3 linked regions of the Arabidopsis thaliana genome follow. The protein of the gene in region 1 interacts with the protein of each later gene in a pairwise test. Each region holds a gene or a part of one and is shown in the gene's direction. Other genes may lie near its edges.

The links.
Region 2: the proteins of AT1G22882 (region 1) and AT5G44920 interact in a protein complementation assay, tested with the Arabidopsis thaliana proteins (one study listed by BioGRID).
Region 3: the proteins of AT1G22882 (region 1) and SUN2 interact in a protein complementation assay, tested with the Arabidopsis thaliana proteins (one study listed by BioGRID).

The regions. Positions count from the first base shown.
Region 1 is NC_003070.9:8,095,262-8,103,906, forward strand, and holds AT1G22882 (Galactose-binding protein), read left to right. Parts: upstream 1-3,130; 5' UTR 3,131-3,674; intron 3,675-3,854; 5' UTR 3,855-3,888; coding exon 3,889-4,042; intron 4,043-4,130; coding exon 4,131-5,959; 3' UTR 5,960-6,203; downstream 6,204-8,645. Other genes in the region: CEL5 (cellulase 5), read left to right, coding at 509-703, 785-1,288, 1,376-1,525, 1,604-1,715, 1,785-2,278; AT1G22885 (uncharacterized protein), read left to right, coding at 6,347-6,452, 6,769-6,872; AT1G22890 (uncharacterized protein), read left to right, coding at 7,590-7,695, 7,852-7,967.
Region 2 is NC_003076.8:18,133,837-18,140,690, forward strand, and holds AT5G44920 (Toll-Interleukin-Resistance (TIR) domain family protein), read left to right. Parts: upstream 1-4,938; 5' UTR 4,939-5,128; coding exon 5,129-5,631; intron 5,632-5,893; coding exon 5,894-6,158; 3' UTR 6,159-6,354; downstream 6,355-6,854. Other genes in the region: AT5G44900 (Toll-Interleukin-Resistance (TIR) domain family protein), read left to right, coding at 1,659-2,149, 2,280-2,547; AT5G44910 (Toll-Interleukin-Resistance (TIR) domain family protein), read left to right, coding at 3,518-3,987, 4,144-4,399; ARAD2 (Exostosin family protein), read right to left, coding at 6,790-6,854. UniProt on the Arabidopsis thaliana protein: Could play a role in nuclear morphology, specifically nuclear size.
Region 3 is NC_003074.8:3,356,400-3,364,384, reverse strand, and holds SUN2 (SAD1/UNC-84 domain protein 2), read left to right. Parts: upstream 1-3,682; 5' UTR 3,683-3,862; coding exon 3,863-4,942; intron 4,943-5,541; coding exon 5,542-5,829; 3' UTR 5,830-6,097; downstream 6,098-7,985. Other genes in the region: ASD1 (alpha-L-arabinofuranosidase 1), read left to right, coding at 1-6, 100-154, 282-484, 585-706, 810-963, 1,086-1,155, 1,297-1,442, 1,521-1,566 and 9 more; AT3G10720 (Plant invertase/pectin methylesterase inhibitor superfamily), read left to right, coding at 6,804-7,604. UniProt on the Arabidopsis thaliana protein: Component of SUN-protein-containing multivariate complexes also called LINC complexes which link the nucleoskeleton and cytoskeleton by providing versatile outer nuclear membrane attachment sites for cytoskeletal filaments.

The DNA.
Region 1 (8,645 bases):
TCTAAATCATAATCCCCAAAATCCCTAACCTAACTAAACTAAATACTACCTAACTAACTACCCTATTATCAAGATTTAAGACATTGTTTATCTATCCCCTAATCGTACGTATTACGCAATGCCACTATCTAAAATACACTTCATTACAGTTTACTGTGGTAAAAAAGATAAGTATCAAACATCAAAACTACCAAGAAATTACCAATTTGTGTCGGTGAACTCATATAGACAAACCTATGTGGTAATCAAACTATTAGTTAAAAAAAAATTGAACATATTAAGAAGATTACAGAATAATACATGTAATCCTCCACTTGTCAGTTCTATAAAATATTAATTAAAAAGGAAATTCAAATTGAAGTAACTAAGAACAGTTTTTTTAGCAGTTAAGCTGAATTTCAAAAAGCCATAATCTTCGCTCTGAATCTCATCAGCCCCGGTCTCCTTCTCTAGCTATATATATACGTGTGTGATAAAGTCGTACCCTCAAGCCAACACAATAACAAGAATGGCTTCTCCTTTCTTCTTTGTGTTCCTTCTCTCTGCGCTTTCACTGGAGAATACCTATGCAAGTCCCAATTACAGAGAAGCACTCTCAAAGTCATTACTCTTTTTCCAAGGTCAGCGGTCTGGTCGCCTCCCTAGTGACCAACAACTCTCATGGAGGTCTAGCTCTGGCCTCTCTGATGGCTCATCTGCTCACGTAAGACCCTAAAACTGTATACCCATAGTCAAGTAGTAAAAGCATAGTAAATCCATCTGAATAACACGGTATGAGTTGCAGGTGGACTTGACCGGAGGCTACTATGATGCTGGGGACAATGTGAAGTTCAATTTCCCGATGGCGTTCACCACAACCATGCTTTCCTGGAGCTCTTTGGAGTACGGTAAGAAGATGGGACCCGAGCTCCAGAACTCCCGTGTGGCCATCCGTTGGGCCACGGATTATCTACTGAAATGTGCCAGGGCTACACCAGGGAAGCTTTACGTTGGAGTAGGAGATCCTAATGGTGACCACAAGTGCTGGGAACGACCAGAAGATATGGACACTCCTCGCACAGTCTACTCTGTATCTCCCTCAAACCCTGGCTCTGATGTAGCCGCTGAAACCGCTGCTGCTCTAGCTGCAAGCTCCATGGTTTTCAGGAAAGTAGATCCCAAGTACTCTCGCTTGCTCTTGGCGACAGCAAAGAAGGTCATGCAGTTTGCCATTCAATACCGAGGCGCTTACAGTAATTCCCTTTCCTCTTCCGTCTGTCCGTTCTACTGCTCCTACTCTGGCTACAAGGTAGAGATTCATATGTTTACATTGTTCCAAAACTGAGAAAGACATATCAATGAATCGTTGAAAACTTAACTACTCTTATGATATCAGGACGAGCTACTATGGGGAGCAGCATGGCTACATAGAGCAACCAACGACCCGTATTACACAAACTTCATAAAATCCTTAGGAGGAGGAGATCAGCCTGACATCTTCAGTTGGGACAATAAATACGCCGGTGCCTATGTTCTTCTCTCACGAGTATGTCTCAATCCTTAAAATTCCTAGACATAACTTAACCATTTCCTTCAATGATTTACAAACACATTTCTTTCGCAGCGAGCAGTACTAAACAAAGACAACAACTTTGAACTCTACAAGCAAGCAGCTGAGAATTTCATGTGTAAGATCCTTCCAAATTCTCCATCCTCGTCAACAAAGTACACTAAAGGTAAACTCAACACAGAGTTCTCTCCAAAAGCATTTCAATTACTCAAATACTAAAAGCTATAACTTTCAGGTGGACTGATGTACAAACTACCTCAGAGCAATCTACAATACGTGACATCAATAACATTCTTGCTCACCACCTACGCCAAATATATGAAATCCACAAAACAAACTTTCAACTGCGGAAACTCACTAATCGTCCCCAACGCACTGATAAATCTATCGAAGCGACAAGTCGATTACGTCCTCGGTGTGAATCCAATGAAGATGTCGTACATGGTTGGATTCAGCTCCAATTTCCCCAAAAGAATCCATCACAGAGGTTCCTCTCTCCCGAGCCGAGCCGTCCGTTCCAATTCTCTGGGCTGTAACGGCGGATTCCAATCATTCAGAACACAAAACCCTAACCCTAACATATTAACCGGAGCAATTGTCGGAGGACCGAATCAAAACGATGAGTATCCAGACCAGAGAGACGATTACACCCGATCAGAGCCAGCTACATACATCAACGCCGCATTCGTCGGACCATTGGCGTATTTCGCCGCCAGCCGATCGCCGTAAATCGCCACTCACTTTAAAGTTGGTTGCTTTGATTTGAAAAGTTGGTTAGATAAATCGGTTAGTCTAAAACCCTTACCGCGTAATGGGTAAGGCTATTTCAGATGTAAACTCTAATGGGCTTTTAGGTCCATCATTAATGAACTAATTAGAAACGCCCATCTTTGGCTCTTAAGTGGTTACGGAACTGAACAGAGGGATTAATCTTATGTGGTGTAATTAACCCTTTTTCGAGACGACTAATGATTCGAAACTAAGTGACACCATCAATATCAACTTGGCAATGGTCGAACTTATATAGCGAGTTTTACGCCATGCTTCCAATAAAACTACCATCACAGTGACAATGTTGTTTCCTGAATATGTAACTTTCGGATTATTGGCTAAATAAATCACTACGAAGACTTTTTCATTTGGTTCATCGATGATATAATAAGATGAAGAATGATTTTGTCCAGTAGATGAGTTAACTAAACCGAAAAGATTATAAAACAATATATTGAAGTATAAAACGACGTATAAGAAGAAGGATTGAAAATCGCCAGCTGTGAAGGGAACACAATCGAAAGCTGGCTTTCACGTTAACGTGCCGCACAAATCACAGCTCATCATCTTCCTTCTTTCTCTTTTTTCCACTTACCTTTTTGTCGTTTTCCCTGTCCGAAATTAAAGTGTTTTATTTTGTCGAGGCATATAGTCCCAATAATCAGTTCACAATTTTATTAAGAAGTTGACATTCTATAGACCTTTTTTGTTTAAATATTTATATATAGACCTTTTTATTAGTCTTCAAAACTTGCTTCAAAATAGTAACCCAAAACTCAAAAGAGAACTCTAGGCTTAACATCATTGTCCAATTCTAAATTGTGTTGTTATAACTAACTCATCAACACTTCTAATTAATTTTATGAAATCCATTAAAGTTACGAGTTCAACATACATGTATGGAAAACGATAAACACAGAGCACAAAATTTCGGAAATTGTAACTTTCCGTAAAAAGGAATAAACCTAAACTAAAATAAAATCAATCAATCAATAAAATTGCCGAAATTTGTAAACCCTGGACCAATCCATCTTCTTCTTCTTCTTCTTCGCCTCTCTCTCTAATCAAAATTTTTGTCAATTTGAAGTCTCTTTGACTCTTCTTTCACCGCCGCAGTTAAAAACCTCGTGTGATTCTTCTTCTTCATATAGATTCCCAGAAACATCGAAACTGGTGAACCGTGTACGCTTCGTCGTTAGTGATGCGGAGACGAAAGATATCGCCGGAAAATCATTGGCCTAGATTCAATCCATTAGAGACTCATCGGAGACGTCTACGTTAGCGTACCCAATCCTCCTCCTCTTCTGGGTTGTTTGCTGATCACACATATCTTCTTTCTTCGATTCTCTCTCAGGTGATTCTTTCTTTCTCCGATCACTTTTCCGGTCTATTGTGTAATCCACGCACCAAAAAATCAGATCTTGGAACTCAAATTCCTTATTTGCAGCTTGAGTTTATTAAAAGTCTTTGTCTTTCTGGGTTTATACTATAAGTTGATTAACTTTGACATCTAATGTGTATTTGCTGGTAACAGGGCGTGTCCTGTGTAATCGTTTAGTGGATGTGCAATGCAAAGGTCGTGTAGAACTAGAAGAAGAGTTTCTGTGAACAAGTTTAATGGAAGGAACAGCTTTTACAAAGTCTCTTTGTCTCTTGTTTTTCTCCTTTGGGTTCTTCTCTTCTTTTCCACCTTGTTGATTAGTCATGGAGATGGTGCCAAAGGTAACCTTCAAGTTCTTTTCTTTGGTGGACATCATTGTCGTTTTATTACCTTAAAGCATGTTAAGAACCAACTCTTGTGTACTTGTAGATGAGCCTTTGAACGACTCTATGGGAATGGCTGATCCGGATGATGGTCAGTCAGATGAGAAAGTTGTGCCCTTTGATGGACCATTATCCTTAGCGTCTGCTTCTGTTGATGTTACGTCTGATTTGAGTCGGAATGATGATGTAAACCTGTCTGAAGAAAGTGAAGACAAAGAACAGGAAGCAGAGATCAGTAGCACAGTTTCAGGGAATGATATTGAAAGCAAGGACACTTACCTTTTGAAGCAAAGTGAGATAAATAAGAAAGATACAGGGATTGATGCAGGAAGCAAATATGATGACTTTCCCAAGAAAAGTGAGATTAACAATACAGGTACGTGGAATGATACAGAAGGCAAAGACGATAATAACTTTTTGAAGCAAAGTCAATTGAACAAGACAGGCACAGGGAATGATACAGAAAGCAGTGACAATGAGTTCTTGGAGCAAAATCAGATGAACAAAACAGTTTTAGGGAATGGTACCGAGATCAACGTTTCAAAGGTTGATCAACCATCTCGTGCGGTTCCGCTTGGCCTTGATGAGTTCAAGAGCAGAGCGTCCAATTCTCGAAACAAATCGTTATCAGATCAGGTCAGTGGTGTGATTCACAGGATGGAGCCTGGAGGGAAAGAGTACAATTATGCATCTGCTTCAAAAGGCGCAAAGGTCTTGTCTTCCAACAAGGAAGCAAAGGGGGCTGCAAGCATCCTAAGCAGGGACAATGACAAGTACCTCAGAAATCCTTGTTCTACTGAAGGTAAATTTGTTGTTGTAGAACTTTCAGAAGAAACTTTGGTAAATACCATCAAGATCGCGAATTTTGAGCATTACTCTTCCAATCTGAAAGAGTTTGAGCTTCAAGGCACCCTAGTTTATCCCACTGATACCTGGGTTCATATGGGAAACTTCACGGCTTCAAACGTGAAGCATGAGCAGAACTTCACACTTCTTGAGCCAAAGTGGGTGAGATACTTAAAGCTAAACTTTATTAGTCATTATGGTTCAGAATTCTACTGCACCTTGAGTTTAATAGAAGTCTACGGTGTGGATGCCGTAGAACGAATGCTGGAGGATTTGATATCTGTCCAGGACAACAAAAATGCATACAAACCCCGAGAAGGAGATTCTGAGCATAAGGAGAAGCCAATGCAGCAAATAGAGTCACTTGAAGGCGATGATGGTGCTGATAAGAGCACGCACAGAGAGAAAGAGAAGGAAGCCCCACCAGAGAATATGTTAGCGAAGACTGAAGCATCAATGGCGAAGAGTAGTAATAAGCTGTCAGAGCCCGTGGAAGAGATGAGGCATCATCAGCCAGGGAGCAGAATGCCAGGGGACACAGTACTGAAGATACTGATGCAGAAGTTAAGGTCATTGGACTTGAACCTATCGATTCTAGAGAGATACTTAGAGGAACTGAACCTGAGATACGGGAACATATTCAAGGAGATGGACCGTGAAGCCGGTGTGAGAGAAAAGGCGATTGTGGCTTTGAGACTTGACTTGGAAGGTATGAAGGAAAGGCAAGAGGGGATGGTGAGTGAAGCAGAGGAGATGAAAGAGTGGCGAAAGAGAGTGGAGGCAGAGATGGAGAAAGCAGAGAAAGAGAAGGAAAACATAAGACAGAGTCTTGAGCAAGTAAGTAAAAGACTTGAGTGGATGGAGAAGAAATGCTTAACGGTTTTCACCGTATGTCTAGGGTTTGGCATTATTGCGGTTATTGCAGTTGTGATTGGTATGGGAACTGGTCTAGCAGAGAAGACCGGTAGTGGGGCTTGGCTCTTGTTATTGATTAGCTCAACATTCATTATGTTCGTTTTGTCTCTTTGATGAGAGTTTTGGTCTTATTTTTACACTGTAGAGTCATGTTACCAATGGATGAAATATACCTTGTTTTTCAATAACCGGCACACATACATATACTTAGCAATTTTCTCAATAATCTAATGCCTAATTTGTAACATAGATTGTATTCGATACAATGAAGTCTTCTTATATAGTCTATAGAAAAATTGAAAAAAATGGGCATAATTCTTTTGCGGACGTAAGTAAAAGTGAAAGTAAGTGCGTTGAGTGGATATAGTAGGTGAGTGGGTACAAGGGACCCGTGAGTACTACAACTTTCAACGAGGCTTCATTTTCTTAAATAACAGAGGAGCTGGTCTTCGTTATATATTGAATTTGTGGGAGACTTTGATCGACAACTTATTTTAAGCAATGGCTACAAAAGCATCAAATTTAGTTGTTTTTCTTCTCTCTTTGCTTCTTCTGTTCTTATTGATATCCTTTCAAGTTGGAGTCGCCGACGCCACACGCAACAAACGTTAGTACATATTCGATCTTTTTCTTTCCTATATATTGGTTTTTCTGAAAGAAGAAGCTTACATATCCAATGACTTTCTATCAGTCTCTCATCTTTATATCTTCATCATTTTCTTCTTATGTAAAACTGTGAAGATTAATCTGTTTTTTCCTCATGAAAAATCTTTGTCTGGATTTGTAGATGTATTGTTTTTAGATCATGTTTCATTATATAATCATATGTTAAAGAAAAGTTAAAAGTTATGTTTTATGTGAAGAAGAAATCATATGTAGATAGTTAAAAGCTTATGGTGAATGACATATATATTGTTAATAAGCAGGTCAAGGACAAGAACAGCGTGTGGATTATGATTACCCTCGCCCTCCCACCGCCCCTATATATCTGCCGCCGTCTAAATCGCGCAAAGGAAAAGGTCCATAAGCCAAAGTACTTTTTGACAAGTGATGGAGAAGAAACTATAATTGTCAAGACTCAAGAGACTCGAGATTAATGTTGTATTGTGATTTCATATAATTACGTTTTCGATCATATCACTTTTTAAGATATTTTAACGGTATTTGGTTATATATATATGTTGTCGGTTCTAGTGGTTTGGCCATGTATTTATCATAGCTAATTTTCCACTACTTTCAGTGGCTAAATCACCATTGCAGTTGAAAGTTATAAATCTGTTGCCAATTAACCTTAAACAATTGTGGCTAAATCAGTTGTCATAATCACGAAGAAATGTTATGACTATGTCGTGTTTTAGTACTGGTCAGAGATGACTACGGATTGAACTTAATCACTGTCATTGTTTTCGTAACAATTTGTGACAAAACCACGAAAAAATTGTACTCACAGATAAATATTTGGCTATATGACAAAAATATATATCCTATATGGTTTGTATAGTTGTCTAAAATTCAACCTAAGTAGGTGGAAGAAATAAATTTAAACAGAACAGGACGTGAGCCAAGAGACTTTCGTATGGAAAATTAAAGGCGCGTTGAATAGAAATGTAGTTGGCGACTAGTACATTTCAGCGATGCTTATCCTTTAGCCTTTTACATTTCAAGGAAGCTTTTATTATATAAATCATCCTGAAGCTAGTCTTTGTTATGAAATTGAGAGAGAGTAGAACACTAAATTAGCAAAATGGCTGCAAAAACATCAAATTTAGTTGCTCTTCTTCTCTCTTTGTTTCTTCTGCTTCTATCTATCTCCTCACAAGTTGGACTAGGCGAGGCCAAACGCAACCTACGTTAGTATTTTTTACACTCATTTTCATGCTTATAATATAGGTCTCGTCTCGTCTATATACATATTGTTATATAACTTATATTTGTATTCACCTTCTTTGTTATTATATTTATAGATTTTTTTTGTTTGGAGAAACTAATCATACAATGTGGTGCAGGTAACAATTTGCGTTTGGATTGCGTTTCCCATCCCTCTCCTCCTCCTCCTCATCGTTCCATGGCCCCTCCAATTTTTGTACCGCCTTCTACATCACACAAAGGACAAGGCCCATAAACAAAATCATACAAGTAACCGAGAAGAAGTGATCAAAATTTCATACCAAAAAAAGAAGTGATCAAGATTCCATATAGAGAAAAGAGTATTGTGTAAGAAGAAGGGTCAAGATTTTTCTTTTATTGGGTCAAGCTTTTACAAGTTGACTATTATAAATTATACAACTTATTGTGTCTTATACAAGTTGAACCTTTTCAGAGCATGTTGGAATTTTAAATCATATATTGTGAATATATATGAATATGTTGTATATCTTATATAATAAAGTCATTTTAGATAAATTGATTATTGTACTCTCTTTTCCACAAATTATAGTATTTTAATCAGAACTATTTTTTTGTTATTCGAACTGAAACCGGCCAGAAAAAAAAAAAAAAAAATTTGACGAAATTTTCATATCTAAACCAAATTCAAACCGTTCTGGTTTATTCTGATCGAACCGAATTCATGACCTAACAACAACCATAATTAAAACATACATACAATTCACTAACCAAAATTTTGCTACACCGTCCCTTTCGTCCGAAGACACTCACACGTCCAAACATACATTTACACATCTCAAGTCGAGATTTATTTCAAACTAAACCTTTTAAACTATTAAGGAGATCCACAACCAAAAGAAAAAAGAGAGCAAAGTGAAACAATTTATTTTCGAATTACATAAACAAATCCCAA
Region 2 (6,854 bases), on another chromosome or scaffold:
GGGCATTGGCAAGACACGGCCGAGCTGCAGAATATCTATAGCCACCGGCAATGGATTGACTAGTGTCCCTTAAGTTCCGTGAAGTTAATTAAGAAAATAGCCGGCTTTACCCGGGACACATATGCATACTACTCAACTATTTTTTTAAAACAAATATTTTAACAAAGATTTAATGCGTTCTAAATCCCAGGGCATTTTTGTGTGTTAACGTCTTCCGCAAGGTACCTCCGACCAGTGACCAACCACCGTTCTATCGCCAACTTTAGATTTCGAGGGGTCAATGTCTGTATAGATGGCTTCAAGCGGAACAGGGGAAACTTACAAGTTACAACACCTCTTGAAAAAATTTATGTACTCGAAATTTCGGGTTTGATCTTCTCCAAGAGGTTCCCAAAGTCAAATAGTGCTTGGAGGAACTAGTGAAGATTGACTGCAAACATAACCGCCCACACCTCAGAAAGTCAGAGATAATATTTCGTGATACTTCATGAATGATGGAAACTTGGGGTTTAATTAGGTCCCAAATTTTTCGGTATATGTGATTAAAAGGGTTTAAAAGTCTTAGGTAAAGAAACATTAAAAGCCAATTCGGTTTTATTGTTTGTGTTATGTTACTAGAGTACCTTACACTATTTCGTGTCTTTGATCTTAATTTTAAATCGCATGGATGATCCCTAGCTAGAATAATTGTATCATAAGCAAAATGATCAAGAGTGGGGCTCACTTGTCTAATGCGTTTTTTGCAGCATCTCTAACCCTACTCTATTTTTTCTCTAAAACTCTATTTTAGAATACATTGGCTTCAACTTCTCTCTATATGTTACTCTAAAATATAGTAAATGGTAGGATTGTTCTAGATATATAGTAACTCTATTTTATTTACACTGCCTCTATTTTAGAGTGATACATTGGAAAGAAATCATGCTCTATTTTAGAATTACATTGAGATGGTCTCAATGATTTTTTTTATATCTTATGAATGCCATTATGACTTGTGATCTGTGTGTGGATATAAGTAAAGTCTAACTATACAGGTGGGGTATTAATTGATTTCTTGATGATTTTTATAGTTGATATATATGTGATTATTTTTGTCTAACTAGCAGCTAGCTATGAGAACATTAAATTAATTTATTGTCTTATAACCGAGAAGAGTACTATATACTTCTGTTGGCCCGGTCTCGTTGGTTTCTCTGATGCATATTGCGTAACGGGTTTTGGTGTTTTCGTGGAGAGTTAAAAGCGGTTAAGAAAGAGCTTCACATACATGATCAGTGATTAGCAAGTTTTGTTGCCTCGCAATTGGTTATATGAGACATTTTAAGAATGCTAAGTGGTTATTTGATTTTCTTGTTTTAGTTGTATGATATTTTATTGTATTGACATGGATTACTACTGTGTCTCTTTGTCTAGTTTTTGTTTTGTTTTTTGATTGTGTAACCAACTACCCAGTTTTGCAGTTAAGATTATATGGATTAATTTAAGGCTCACTCAAATCCGGTCAACTATTCTAATCTTCTTTGTAGATCAATGATTAATAATGGAATCAATTATGATTAAGTAAAACACAATGAAACCATTGAATCAAACGTTCTTACAGAAAAAAATACTTCTTGTTTTTCCTCAGCAAATAGTTTCCTCAAAAACCATTACCTTCCATGGGCGCCTCCTTCTCCCTCTTTACCGACGTTGGACCGATCCCGCCTCAGTATCAAGTGTTCATCAACTTCCGAGGCGAAAAACTTCGTGATGGGTTCCTAGGGTTTCTTGTGGATGCTCTTTTAAAAGAGAATGTCAACGTTTTTATAGATGATCATGAGCTTAGAGGCAGAGATCTTGATCATCTCTTCAGTAGGATCGAGGAATCGAGAGTCGCATTGACAATCTTCTCCAAGAACTTCACCAACTCAAGATGGTGCTTAGATGAGCTTGCTAAGATCAAAGAATGTGTGGATCAAGAAAGTCTTACAGTGATTCCTATCTTCTTTAAGATGAAAACAGACGATGTGAAGAAACTGAAGGGGAATTTTGGAGACAACTTCCGGGACCTGAAGTTAACGCATCGCGGCGAGCCTGAAACTTATCGGAGATGGAAAGATGCTATACTGTATGTTTCTAAGAAAACTGGCTTGTCTTCGTCACGATACAGGTCTGGACTTTGTCCCTTTGCTTATGTTCTTTGTTGGAAACTTGGAATACTCTGTTTCTTGACTCTGTTCTTGGTTAGTTCAGGACATAAGCTTGTTCACTGACAGATCTTTTGAACTCTGTTATGACAGTCGCCAGAATGATTTGGTCAACACAATCGTCGAGGAGGTTAAGAAAGTTCTAAACGATATCGCCGAGATCGAACGACAAATTGCTGAAGAGAAGCGCAACCATTTGGCGGCAAGAACAGATGAATTGATTAGACTTGTTGTCCGGTTCCTAAGTCTGTTTCTTCTTTTTACAATAGTTTTTGGTCCTTATGTTTTAGGCCTTCTCACTTTTTTCTCTTTTCTTGTGGGTCGTTTGATAATCAATCGAGCTGTGGAAAGTGAGTGGTGAATGGTAACGTTTGCGTTTCTATGAGAATACGTAAACGCAAAGAATCTGAGACTGAGAGTTTCATTTTGGTTACACATTGTTGCATTCGATATTTTTTTCTATGAAATAATTTGATTTCGATTAGTTTGACCTTGCATCAATTATTGATAAAAGTGATTACGATTAATAACACTATCTCCTTTATAACCTACCACCTAAGACTTTTGGTCAACTACTAGATCAATGAGACTTCCACATGTTTTATTTGGTTATGATCTTGAAATAGAAGAAAAAATACAAATCTAAAGATAAATGTTTCTTTCAAAGTAACCACTTTTCACTCTTTTGCTTTATTTTTCTTGTGCAAAAAGTTCCCAAAGTCTCCGCTTCTCTATTCCAAACAGTTAAAACCCAAAGAAACACATAGTCTCTTCGCTTGACCAAAGCTCAAAAAAAGGTCAGAATAATTCATATGAAGTTGTTGAGTGTCCCTAAAAACACGAGATGTCTAATGAAGTCATCAAGCAGCTCGGTAGTCGTGGTCGTGCTTGACCAAAGCTCAATAATGGATCCAGCACGACCACGACTACCGAGCTGCTTGATGACTTCATTAGACATCTCGTGTTTTTAGGGACACTCAACAATTTCTTATGAATTATTATGACCTTTTTTTGAAAAAAAAGTAGTTAAATCTAAATATCTAATACAAGAATAGTTTAAGGATAGTTTACATTTGTTCATTGAATATAGATGAACAAATATCTAAATATTTGTCCTATATTTCCAATTTTTCCATAAAAAATAATAAAGAAGACAGTTGCCAAGAGTTGACTTTTGAAATGAATTTTTCCTAAAAAAGAAATAAATGCTTTGACTTTTGAAATGAATTGGTCCAAAACAAGAAATGAATCTTTTACTTTTCCAGCTTCTTCTTCTCCATATATTCATGAAGAAAAATTAAAGCAAGAAAGTCTCAACTCTCAACCCTCCCATGGCAGAACCACCACCGTACCAACGTCCTCCTCAAGTATTCATTAGTTTCTATGGAAACGAATCGCGCGACAATTTCATCAAATATCTTGTGTGGGGATTGAGAGACGAGAGAGTCAACGTTTTCGTAGACAGAGCAGAAGCAAATAGGAGAGACATACGAAATATTTCCACAAAGATCGAGGAGTCGAATATCGCGGTCGTCATCTTCTCCAAGAGGTATACAGAGTCAGAGATGTGCTTGAACGAGCTTCAAAAGATGTACGAGCACGTAGAACAAAGCAACCTTAAGGTGATACCTGTCTTCTATGATGTGAGCATAAGCGGTGTAAAGAACCTCGAGGATGAATTCGGTAATCATTTCGAGGAACTGAGGGAGAAATACGCAAACGATCCACTCAAGATCTTGAAGTGGGAGGATTCATTGAGTTCAATAGTAGAGCGGACCGGCTTAACCTCCGAAGACCACGGGTAATTATTCTTTTGATGAAATTTATAAGTAGTGAAAACACAAACTGTTTTGAATTTTCTATGAATTTTTTTTTTAGTCAATTCTTGTTAATTTGTTCTTAGGAAGACTACTTATTTGAGCTCATTTAACGGTTTCTTCCTGACATATGTTTGCAGAACGGGTTTAGGTCTTGTGAGGGCAATCGTCACGGCGGTTAAGAGCGAGCTAATGGACTCTGAAAGACAAAATATTACTAAAGGACAAGTGTTTGTTTTGGCTTCAGCTGCGGTTTTTATCTGTAGTCTCATTGTAGCTCGTTTACTATGCACTGATGTGAAAGTTAATAAAGCTGTTAAGTGTTTACTAGGGTTTCCAGTTTTGGCTGGTATCTTGCACCAGCTTTACTGTCTACGGACCCAACCAAACAGATGATGACCTCTTGATTAATCACCAACTTGTGGTCAAATGGCTTTTGATACGATTGGAGAAGCAAGTAAAGAAAAGAAAGAAGCAGAGGCAGTCAACACCGTTGACTGTGTGTGTTGACTGTGTGATGAGCTGGGAAGGAAAGCAAAGTCTCTGGGCATGACAAAGGGTTTGCGGTTGCAGGCTTGGGAGTATAAATAAGGAGAGATATCGATTTAGAGAATCTATGCTTATTGTTGATTGTTGTTGAATTGTGTGAGTCTTGCATGAGAGACTTGAGAGTTGAGCTAGTGATGTGCTAGTCTCTCTCATATGGTGTACTGAGAGCTGACCTAGTGATGTGCTAGTCTCTCTCGTGTATGGTGTGTTAGTGTGTACTGGTTTGGTTAAGGAATCGGAGGTATCGATATTGGAAACTTAACAGTTTTGCACTGTTTGGCTATAGATTACATCTCTGTTTAGTTGTTTCACTCTTTATAGTTTGTCTTCAAAAACATTATTTACCCGACCCATGACCCAGGATTTAGAGTATTTGGATCCATTGAGACAATAATGTTGTATAATATTAAAGAAAGACTGAGGATAGGCGCAGACTTGGCATCGAGCCACTGATTGGTCTGAAGAATTAAAGAATCGTTTCTCTGTAATGTATTTTAAAGGACAAAGTGAGACAACAAAGTCTCTCACCAACTATATTCACTATTTTTTATTCAGACGAACCTAGACACCATTCCAATGGATGAGCAGGTCCAAGAACCTCTTTCTGATCAGGTGTTTATCAACTTCCGAGGAGATGAGCTGCGCGAAATCTTTGTCAACCATCTAGAGCTGCAATTAAGAAACGCAGGGATCAACGTCTTCATAGACACTAAAGAGCAGAAAGGGAGAAGACTACAATATCTCTTCACAAGGATCAAGAAGTCAAAAATCGCGCTTGCTATCTTCTCCAAGAGGTACTGTGAGTCAAAGTGGTGTTTGGATGAGCTTGTGACGATGAATGAACAGATGAAGGAAAAGAAACTCGTGGTGATTCCAATCTTCTATAACGTAAGATCGGACGATGTAAAAAGAGCAGCCAATCCCGATGGAGAAGGCAATCTTGATGGAGAGTTTTCCCTTCCTTTTAAGCAACTGAAGCAAAACCATGCAGGGGAGCCTGAGAGGGTCGAGGGTTGGGAGCGTGCCCTGAGATCTGTGACAAAAAGAATAGGGTTTTCCCGGTCAAACTCAAAGTACAAGTAATACTTCAAAATACATGTATTCTTGATTATGTTTGGATCTATGCCCGACTGATCTTTGATTAGTAGATCTCTTTGGTAAGGAGTTTTCCGCAAATCCACCAAGGCACCAACCCACTTGACCGAGCGATATATGCCGAAACTTGACCGCTCGAGTTTTCTTGATGATTCTTGTATTATTGATATAACCAAAAAAAAGTAAAAACCTACTTGCATCATCTTCTTCTTTCTCTAACTCATGTTATAATTTTTTTTTTTGCAGACACGATACCGATTTTGTTTTGGATATTGTTAAGGAGGTTAAGAAACAGCTAAACATACCAACTGACAACAGTTGGTCAGCTATAGGAGTTGCTTTCTTGGCTATAACCATCAACTTGATCTTTAGTTTCTTCATTGCCCCTAAGTATCTCCCTGATCAGAAGTTTTTCCAGACTCCTGAATGGTTCATAGGTACTCTGGCAGTTGTTCTTGCGTCGTGGTTTTGGTACAAAAATAACCAGAACAAAGCACCACCTCCTTCATAAGTGGCTTTTGTGCAACTTTATGCTGTTTGTTTGTGTGTTGTTTAAATGGGGTGTTAAAGATCATTTGGTTGCTTTGTACATTTGTGTGTCTCTTTGTTAATAATTGTGTTGTAATTGTCAGTTACTATTTTAAAGAACAAACTTGTGCTTTGTATTACTCTGTTTCTGTTCTCTGTGTAGGCTCTATGACTAGAAATTCTCATTGCCCTAAAAGTCTTTTGCTTCTCCATTGGTTAGCTAATAATGTAAATGGTTGATTTCATCACTTGTGTGGTGGTCTTTGAGTATTAGCAAATTAAAAGATAAAATGTACCTCTCTTTGCTTGAATCTCTCTTGATATTTAACACTCCCAAAGTCAAAACCCACCAGGAAACGCGCATTCTTGATCAAACCCTTGACCCGGAATTAGAGAGTGATGTGGTTTCTCTTGTTGTTCCTATATAAAAAGAAAAGGCTTAGAAAGGCGTACTGAGTCATGTATTTGGGAAAAAACGAAGAACAAAGAATGGTTCTAGTTATAATTTATAAGGACTAAATGATCACATTTCTTTACCTTTCCAGTCTTTGATTCATCATTAATAATGATCACATTTTGTTGCTTAGCATGAGCTTGCTAGGCATTTAACCTTACTAGACACCATGGATGATCCCGGTTTGGTTTGAGCATAAACAAGAACATTGAGGGTCACTTCCAT
Region 3 (7,985 bases), on another chromosome or scaffold:
TTCGAGGTTTGTTAATGTTACGGTCTCAAATAGATCTTTGCAATGTACGCAATGTGTTCAAATCAATCATAAACTTTATATGCTCTATGTTCATTATAGGAGATCAACCATGCTGGTGCCGGTGGATTATGGGCCGAACTTGTTAGCAACAGAGGTTAGTTTTTTTTAGCTTGTTACTACTGAAATCCATGGGAATCAATCGTTGTTTGGCTTCATTTTCTTTCTTTACATGATGAGAAAAAATGTGGTAGTAACTTTTAAGGAAAAACTTTGGTTTCCAGGGTTTGAAGCTGGTGGGCAAAACACACCCTCTAATATTTGGCCATGGTCCATTGTTGGTGATCATTCATCCATATATGTAGCTACAGACCGTTCATCATGTTTTGAACGGAATAAAATCGCACTGAGAATGGATGTGCTTTGTGATAGCAAAGGTTGTCCATCGGGAGGTGTCGGAGTTTATAACCCTGGTTACTGGGGCATGGTGAGTGTCAAATTGTGAACACTTTACAGCTCGGTTTTTTGTTTCCCTCGGTGTCAAGAGCATGGGTTTAGCTGTTTATTCATTTTCTATCTTCTGTTAGAATATTGAAGAAGGAAAGAAGTACAAGGTGGCTCTTTATGTGCGTTCGACTGGTGATATCGATTTGTCTGTGTCGTTGACGAGCTCGAATGGATCACGGACTCTTGCTTCTGAAAAGATCATGTGAGAAATAATTTCAGATTCTTCAGTTAAGTCTGAATATGTTTATTTTGCTGTTTCAGTGTGTGAAAGTTTCAATTGTATGCTTTCATTTGTTTCAATGTAGAGCTTCTGCTTCTGATGTTTCGAAATGGATTAAAAAAGAGGTTCTTTTGGAGGCAAAAGCGACCGATCCTAGTGCAAGACTTCAGTTAACAACAACCAAGAAAGGGTCAATATGGATTGACCAAGTCTCGGCCATGCCAGTGGATACTCACAAGGTTCTTTTTTCGCTCTCTCTGATTCCCTGTAGAGCCTTGAGATGGAAGATTACAGATTGCTAATAGAGAAAATATTGGAAGAAGAACTCTATCAAATACTCGATCTTTTTGGTTGATTGCAGGGACATGGTTTTAGAAACGATCTTTTCCAAATGATGGCCGATATAAAACCCCGTTTCATCCGGTTCCCAGGTACGTATTATTTAAGGCTAGTAGCATTTTTGTTACTTATTCTATCCATAGACGTACCTCTTAGTTCAATATGACAAAAAGCATGACTTAAGATGAAATAAGCTAAAGTCTATTCTTTACTCTGGATATTTGTGAATTTAGGTGGTTGTTTTGTCGAGGGTGAATGGTTAAGTAATGCCTTCCGCTGGAAAGAAACCGTAGGACCTTGGGAAGAGAGACCGGGCCATTTTGGTGATGTTTGGAAGTATTGGACCGATGATGGCCTTGGCCACTTTGAGTTCTTTCAAGTGAGACTTCTTCTTTTCTATTGAGTACATAATGATCCCCGAAGCTCGTTATTGAATATTAAATGAACATTCTTGCAGATGGCAGAAGACATCGGTGCAGCCCCGATATGGGTGTTTAACAACGGTATTCTTTCACTCTCCAAAAACTTAGTTGTAACTGACTTATATCATTTTGTCTTCCAATTCTGTCAACCTTATTTTTTACTTTGTGCAGGGATAAGTCACAATGATGAAGTTGAAACTGCCAGTATCATGCCCTTTGTTCAAGTATGATTACTAAACCTTCCTCTGTTTCACTAGTGAAGAAGCCGGAAAACCAAAACTTTCTCCTCTTTTTGTTTCAGGAAGCACTCGACGGTATCGAGTTTGCCCGAGGAGATGCCAATTCTACTTGGGGATCTGTTCGAGCTAAAATGGGACGCCAAGAACCTTTTGAACTTAAATACGTTGCTATTGGAAATGAAGATTGTGGGAAAACTTACTACAGAGGTTTTGCATTTCTCTATGATCACATCTTGACTTAGATTTTTGTTGAGCATCTTTGACACTAAATGAGATTACAACTTTACAGGAAACTACATTGTGTTCTATGATGCTATCAAGAAAGCCTATCCAGATATCAAAATCATCTCCAACTGCGATGGATCCTCTCATCCACTCGACCACCCAGCTGATTACTATGACTATCACGTAAAATTTTCTATCTTGACAGAAACTGTAACCGTTGTCTTGTGTTCTCTCTTCCGCCTGAAAAAAGTGTTTCCTTTTTGTCACAGATTTACACTTCTGCTAGCAATTTGTTTTCCATGTATCATCAATTTGATCGCACTTCACGCAAAGGTCCAAAGGTGCGGTAATAGATTATAACAAAACTTAATTCCAACAAACACAAGATGAAGCTTTCAGCGTTTTACTCACTCGTGAACTTTGTTTACAGGCTTTTGTCAGTGAATATGCTGTTACTGGAAAAGATGCTGGTACAGGAAGCCTTCTTGCCTCTCTTGCAGAAGCTGCGTTTCTCATTGGTCTTGAAAAGAATAGGTTCCCTTTGAATTTCTCTTCCCAGGCTTTGATCTCAACTAAAAACATCAAATAAGTTAAACATCTTATGACTTTTTGCAGTGACATTGTTGAAATGGCAAGTTATGCTCCACTCTTTGTGAACACAAATGATAGACGGTATCTCTCACTTACTTTTCCGTTCGAATGGTTACTCAGGAAGATAAGGCAATAATCTCAAATTGTTAAATTGGTTTCAGGTGGAACCCTGATGCAATAGTCTTCAACTCCTCTCATCTATATGGAACACCTAGCTATTGGGTTCAACGGTTTTTTGCAGAGTCAAGCGGAGCAACTCTTCTCACTTCAACACTCAAGGGAAACTCTACTTCTCTTGTTGCATCTGCTATCTCTTGGAAAAACAATGGCAAAGATTACATACGCATAAAGGTAAACCGAGTGAAAGATTCAACCGGAGCTCTGATATTGACCCTAAAAAACTGTTTCAAAATCTGTTATTTGCAGGCTGTAAACTTCGGAGCTAACTCAGAAAATATGCAAGTGTTGGTAACTGGATTGGACCCGAACGTGATGAGAGTTTCGGGATCAAAGAAGACAGTACTTACCTCTACCAATGTGATGGATGAAAATTCCTTCTCACAGCCAGAGAAGGTAAAAATCAAGAGATGGAAGAAACATCATTATCATCACAAATTCTGAGTGTTCCCATGTTCTTATTGGTTTTTATTTGCAGGTTGTACCACATGAAAGCTTGCTAGAGTTGGCAGAGGAGGATATGACCGTTGTTCTCCCGCCACATTCCTTTTCTTCATTCGATTTGTTGAAGGAATCTGCAAAGATAAGAATGCCAATCTCTGATTCTTCTTCCCATCAGAAAACTACCACTGTGTGAAGAGAAACAATGACAAGGAAGTATCAACTTTCATGTCAAAAGTCTCTTTGTGGTTCAAATCTAATTACATTCCATAAATGCTTATAACGTACCCTTGTGTATATATAATAATAGTCTGGTGAATAAATTTACTTTCTTTAATCATGAGCTTATCTCGACTCTAGATATCTTGATATGCAAGAATGATGAAGCAACAGTTTCTTCTTAGCATAAAAGAAGATGACGAGGCGTGAAAGTGGGCTGGGCCATTTTATTTCCATTATTGGGCTTTTAAAAGCCCATCATAATGAATTTTGAAAAAAATGGAGGAGCATCAAAACAAATAAAAATGGCGAAACTGAAGAACACACGATTCAGATTTTCAAAATTGAATTTTGTAGTGATCTCTCTCCTATATAAACTTCCTCACTCTTCTTCCATTTCAAATCTCTCTCTCTGTAGTCAAAATTAGGGTTTATTTATTCATAAGGAAGAGCATTTCGAATTCTGTAGTTCAAAATTGAAGATCATGTCGGCGTCAACGGTGTCAATCACCGCTAGTCCTAGGACAATAAGGCGGACGCCGGTTCTCTCCGGTGAGAAGAAATCTAATTTTGATTTCCCGCCGAGCGAATCTCATGCCAATGCGGCAATTGGAGAGTCGTCTGCTGGTACGAACAAGGATCTGATTCGCGCCGAGGCTGCCGGTGAGAGATCCAACACCTACGACGTAGGTCCGGTGACAAGGAAATCAGGATCCACCGCGACGGGGACTAATACAACCACCACGCAGCGTCGGACGCGGAAGTCTCAGGGGAATAAGATAGATAGAGGGAAATGGAAGACAGTGGTTAGGGTATTCGCGAAGCAATTTGGGGCTCTTTTGTTACTTGTTGGATTGATTCAGTTGATTAGGAAATTGACTTTGAAGGATTCGTCTCTGTCTTCTTCGAATTTCCCAATTGAAACGGAAATGGTGCTTTCGGAATTGGAGAGTCGGATTTCTGCAGTTGATGGTTTGGTGAAGACTACGACGAAGATGATGCAGGTTCAAGTTGAGTTTCTTGATAAGAAGATGGATAGTGAATCAAGAGCATTGAGGCAGACGATAGATTCCACATCTTCTGTGTTACATAGTGAGTTGAAGAAGGTAGAGTCTAAGACAGAGAGGTTACAGGTTTCTGTAGATGAGTTAAATGCTAAACCTTTGGTGTCTAGAGAGGAGTTAGAGAGAGTTTACGAGGAGTTGAAGAAGGGTAAGGTCGGTGATTCTGATGTTAACATTGATAAACTGAGGGCTTATGCTCGTGACATAGTGGAGAAAGAGATAGGGAAACATGTTGCAGATGGCCTTGGTCGAGTAGATTATGCGTTAGCGTCTGGTGGAGCTTTTGTAATGGGGCATTCGGATCCGTTTCTTGTTGGAAATGGGCGTAATTGGTTTGGGACAAGCAGGAGACGGGTTCATAGCAAAGCGGTTAAGATGTTAACTCCGAGTTTCGGGGAGCCTGGACAGTGTTTTCCTCTGAAAGGAAGCAATGGATATGTTCTAGTCAGGCTAAGAGCACCAATAATTCCAGAAGCTGTTACTTTGGAACATGTCTCTAAGGTAGTACTAACATCTCAATACTAAACTTTCACAAAATGATTGATTTTTATATGTTAATTTGAGCCTTCAAGAAGGGTTCTCTGTTAAATGTTGTTGGTATTGAGATGCCCTGTACTTCGGATTGGATTGCTGGTGACAATAGGTTATCGAATAGAGGGCAAGAAACTAGTTTTGTGAATTTGAGTTCTTATAGTTTGAGGTTTAGTTTAGGCACTAGCTGTGACAATATGCATTGAGGAGGATTTTACCTATTGTTATTTTCTGCAAATCACTAGCTTTAGCAGTTCCTTTGTCTAATATCAATGCCACTGTGTTGTTGTGCTTTGTTTGGGACATCGTTGACAGAGAAAAGAACCGTATGTATGGGAAGAGCTTGTAAGTTTACAATTAGTGGAACTGTAATATTCACTGTTTACGGATATCCTTAGGAAACAGTAGCTGAAGGGAAATAGTCTCAAGAGTGTGTAATGTGATGGTCACACATTGCTTTCCATCATTGTTCATCCTTGTGATCATTTGTCTGATAAATTTCTTCTTGTCTGACCACTAAAAGGCAATACTAATCTTACGGTTATGTTATGCACCATTTAATCGAACAGGCTGTAGCATATGACAGATCGAGCGCCCCAAAGGATTGCCGTGTATCAGGATGGCTAGGTGACATAGATATGGAGACTGAGACAATGCCCCTTCTTACAGAATTCAGTTACGACTTAGACAGGTCCAATGCACAGACATTCGACATTGCAGACTCTGCTCACTCAGGACTTGTCAACACTGTCAGGCTAGACTTCAATTCCAACCATGGAAGCTCTTCACACACTTGCATCTACCGCTTCAGGGTTCATGGCCGTGAACTAGACTCAGTCTCTGTTGCTCATGCTTGATCTGAAAGTCCACGTCAAACTTTTCTTCTCTTTGTAACATTCCCTCTAATAGATATCTCTCTTCTTTTTTTGTGTTAGTTTATGTGGTGGGAAAGCTTCTCTTAGTCTGTAATCAGAATCATTTGGTTGTATTCGTGATTATTAGCTTCAAATCTGTTTTGGTTCGGTTTATTTGGTCAGGGTATGTATCCTCCGAATTGAATAATATAGATCTTAGTTTGATGTCCGGTTTTGGTTTTGTAACAGAGTTTCAATTTAAGCTTTCACCTAAAACAAATCATACAAATTCTAATAGAGTATACATATTTCATTAGTTGAAACAAATATTGAATTTGGATTATTAATGGTTACCTTGGGTACTTGGTATTACAACGATATGTGATGAATAGGAAGAGTGTGTATATAGATGGACCATAACTTGTTAGTGTGAATTGCGTAATCGACAAAGTGACGACTTCTTCTTCTAGGCTGCACCGTCTTGCCTTGTCTAAAAGCTTCCCAACACATCACATGCAAAATCTACGGTCAAATAATAGATATGAAACCCTCTTCCAAGTCAACACAGCTTGTTTGATTATAAATTAAATTAAATACAAATTCATCTTTGACATGTCTGATTAATGTTAATTTTTTACAGTGTCAACTGGCATAACAAATTGAGCTAAACAAAATTAAGCTCTAAAAATAGCCATTTTTTACGGTTAAATCACATGAAGAAACCTTTCCTAACCAAGTCAACCCATGTTTGGTCGTCGTGACGGTGGACCACCGGCTCCAAAAAAACTCTTCATTTGACCAAAACGAGTATAACCCTTAATTATTAGACCAACATGCATTACATAAATGATAAATTCAGTTTCCCTCGAGCCCATGCATTCATTAAATAGCAGAAAGCTCCTCGTATAGTCTATATATATAGCAGATTTTAGATCCAAAATAACAAACACCATCAATACACAAACAAAACAAAAAGGATGAAAATGCAAACACTAAACTTCACTTCTTCTCTCTTGTTCTTGTCTTTTATCTTCCTCTCATGTGCTCTGCTTATCTCATCACAACAATCTCCATCACAGCCACATTCTGAGCCTCCGTCACAGCTACCTTTTGAGCCTCCGGTAGAGTCACCATTCTTCCCTCCGTCACAGCCACCAATATTCGTGCCACCGTCACAGCCACCTTCTTTGCCTCCGTCACAGTCTCAGTCACCTTCTCTCGCTTGCAAGTCAACTCCATACCCTAAGCTTTGCCGTACGATCCTCAACGCTGTCAAATCCTCACCGTCAGATCCTTACCGTTACGGCAAATTCACTATAAAGCAATGCCTCAAGCAAGCAAGCCGTCTATCCAAAGTCATCACCAGTTACGCGCGGCGCGTGGAAAGCAAACCAGGCTCGGCCACGGCCGAGGAAATAGGGGCGGTGGCGGACTGCGGCGAGTTATCGGAGCTGAGTGTGAACTACCTTGAAACCGTCACGACGGAGCTTAAGACGGCGCAGGTGATGACGGCAGCTCTCGTCGAGCATGTGAACAGTCTTCTCAGTGGTGTAGTGACGAATCAGCAGACGTGTCTTGACGGACTCGTGGAGGCTAAGAGTGGTTTCGCCGCCGCGATTGGTTCGCCGATGGGGAATCTCACTCGCCTTTACAGTATCTCGTTAGGACTTGTGAGCCACGCACTTAACCGTAACCTGAAGAGGTTTAAAGCCTCCAAAGGGAAGATTCTTGGTGGTGGGAACTCAACCTATCGCGAACCGCTCGAGACTTTGATTAAGGTAATTAATTAAAACTTGTTTCTAATTCTTTTCTTTTTTCGTTTTTGTTTGTTTGTTTATACTAGCTTTTATACATTCCTTTACATATTATTATAAAGTTGTTAATAATCTAGTTGTAAAGACATTACATATTTTTGAAATGGTTGGCATAGAGATATAAGAATAGGAATTTGGGGAAATACCAAAAACATTATATATATATATATATATATATGCCTTCTTATCATAAATCCTTAGAAAAAATCAAAACAGAGTTTTTAAATCGATGATTTATAATAATTTTTGTATGGTCACCACTCACCACAATTCAAACATGAATAATGAAAGGTTATGCAAAAGCCTTTTTGGACATACATGTATGAATAGATAAGCATCGTAGGA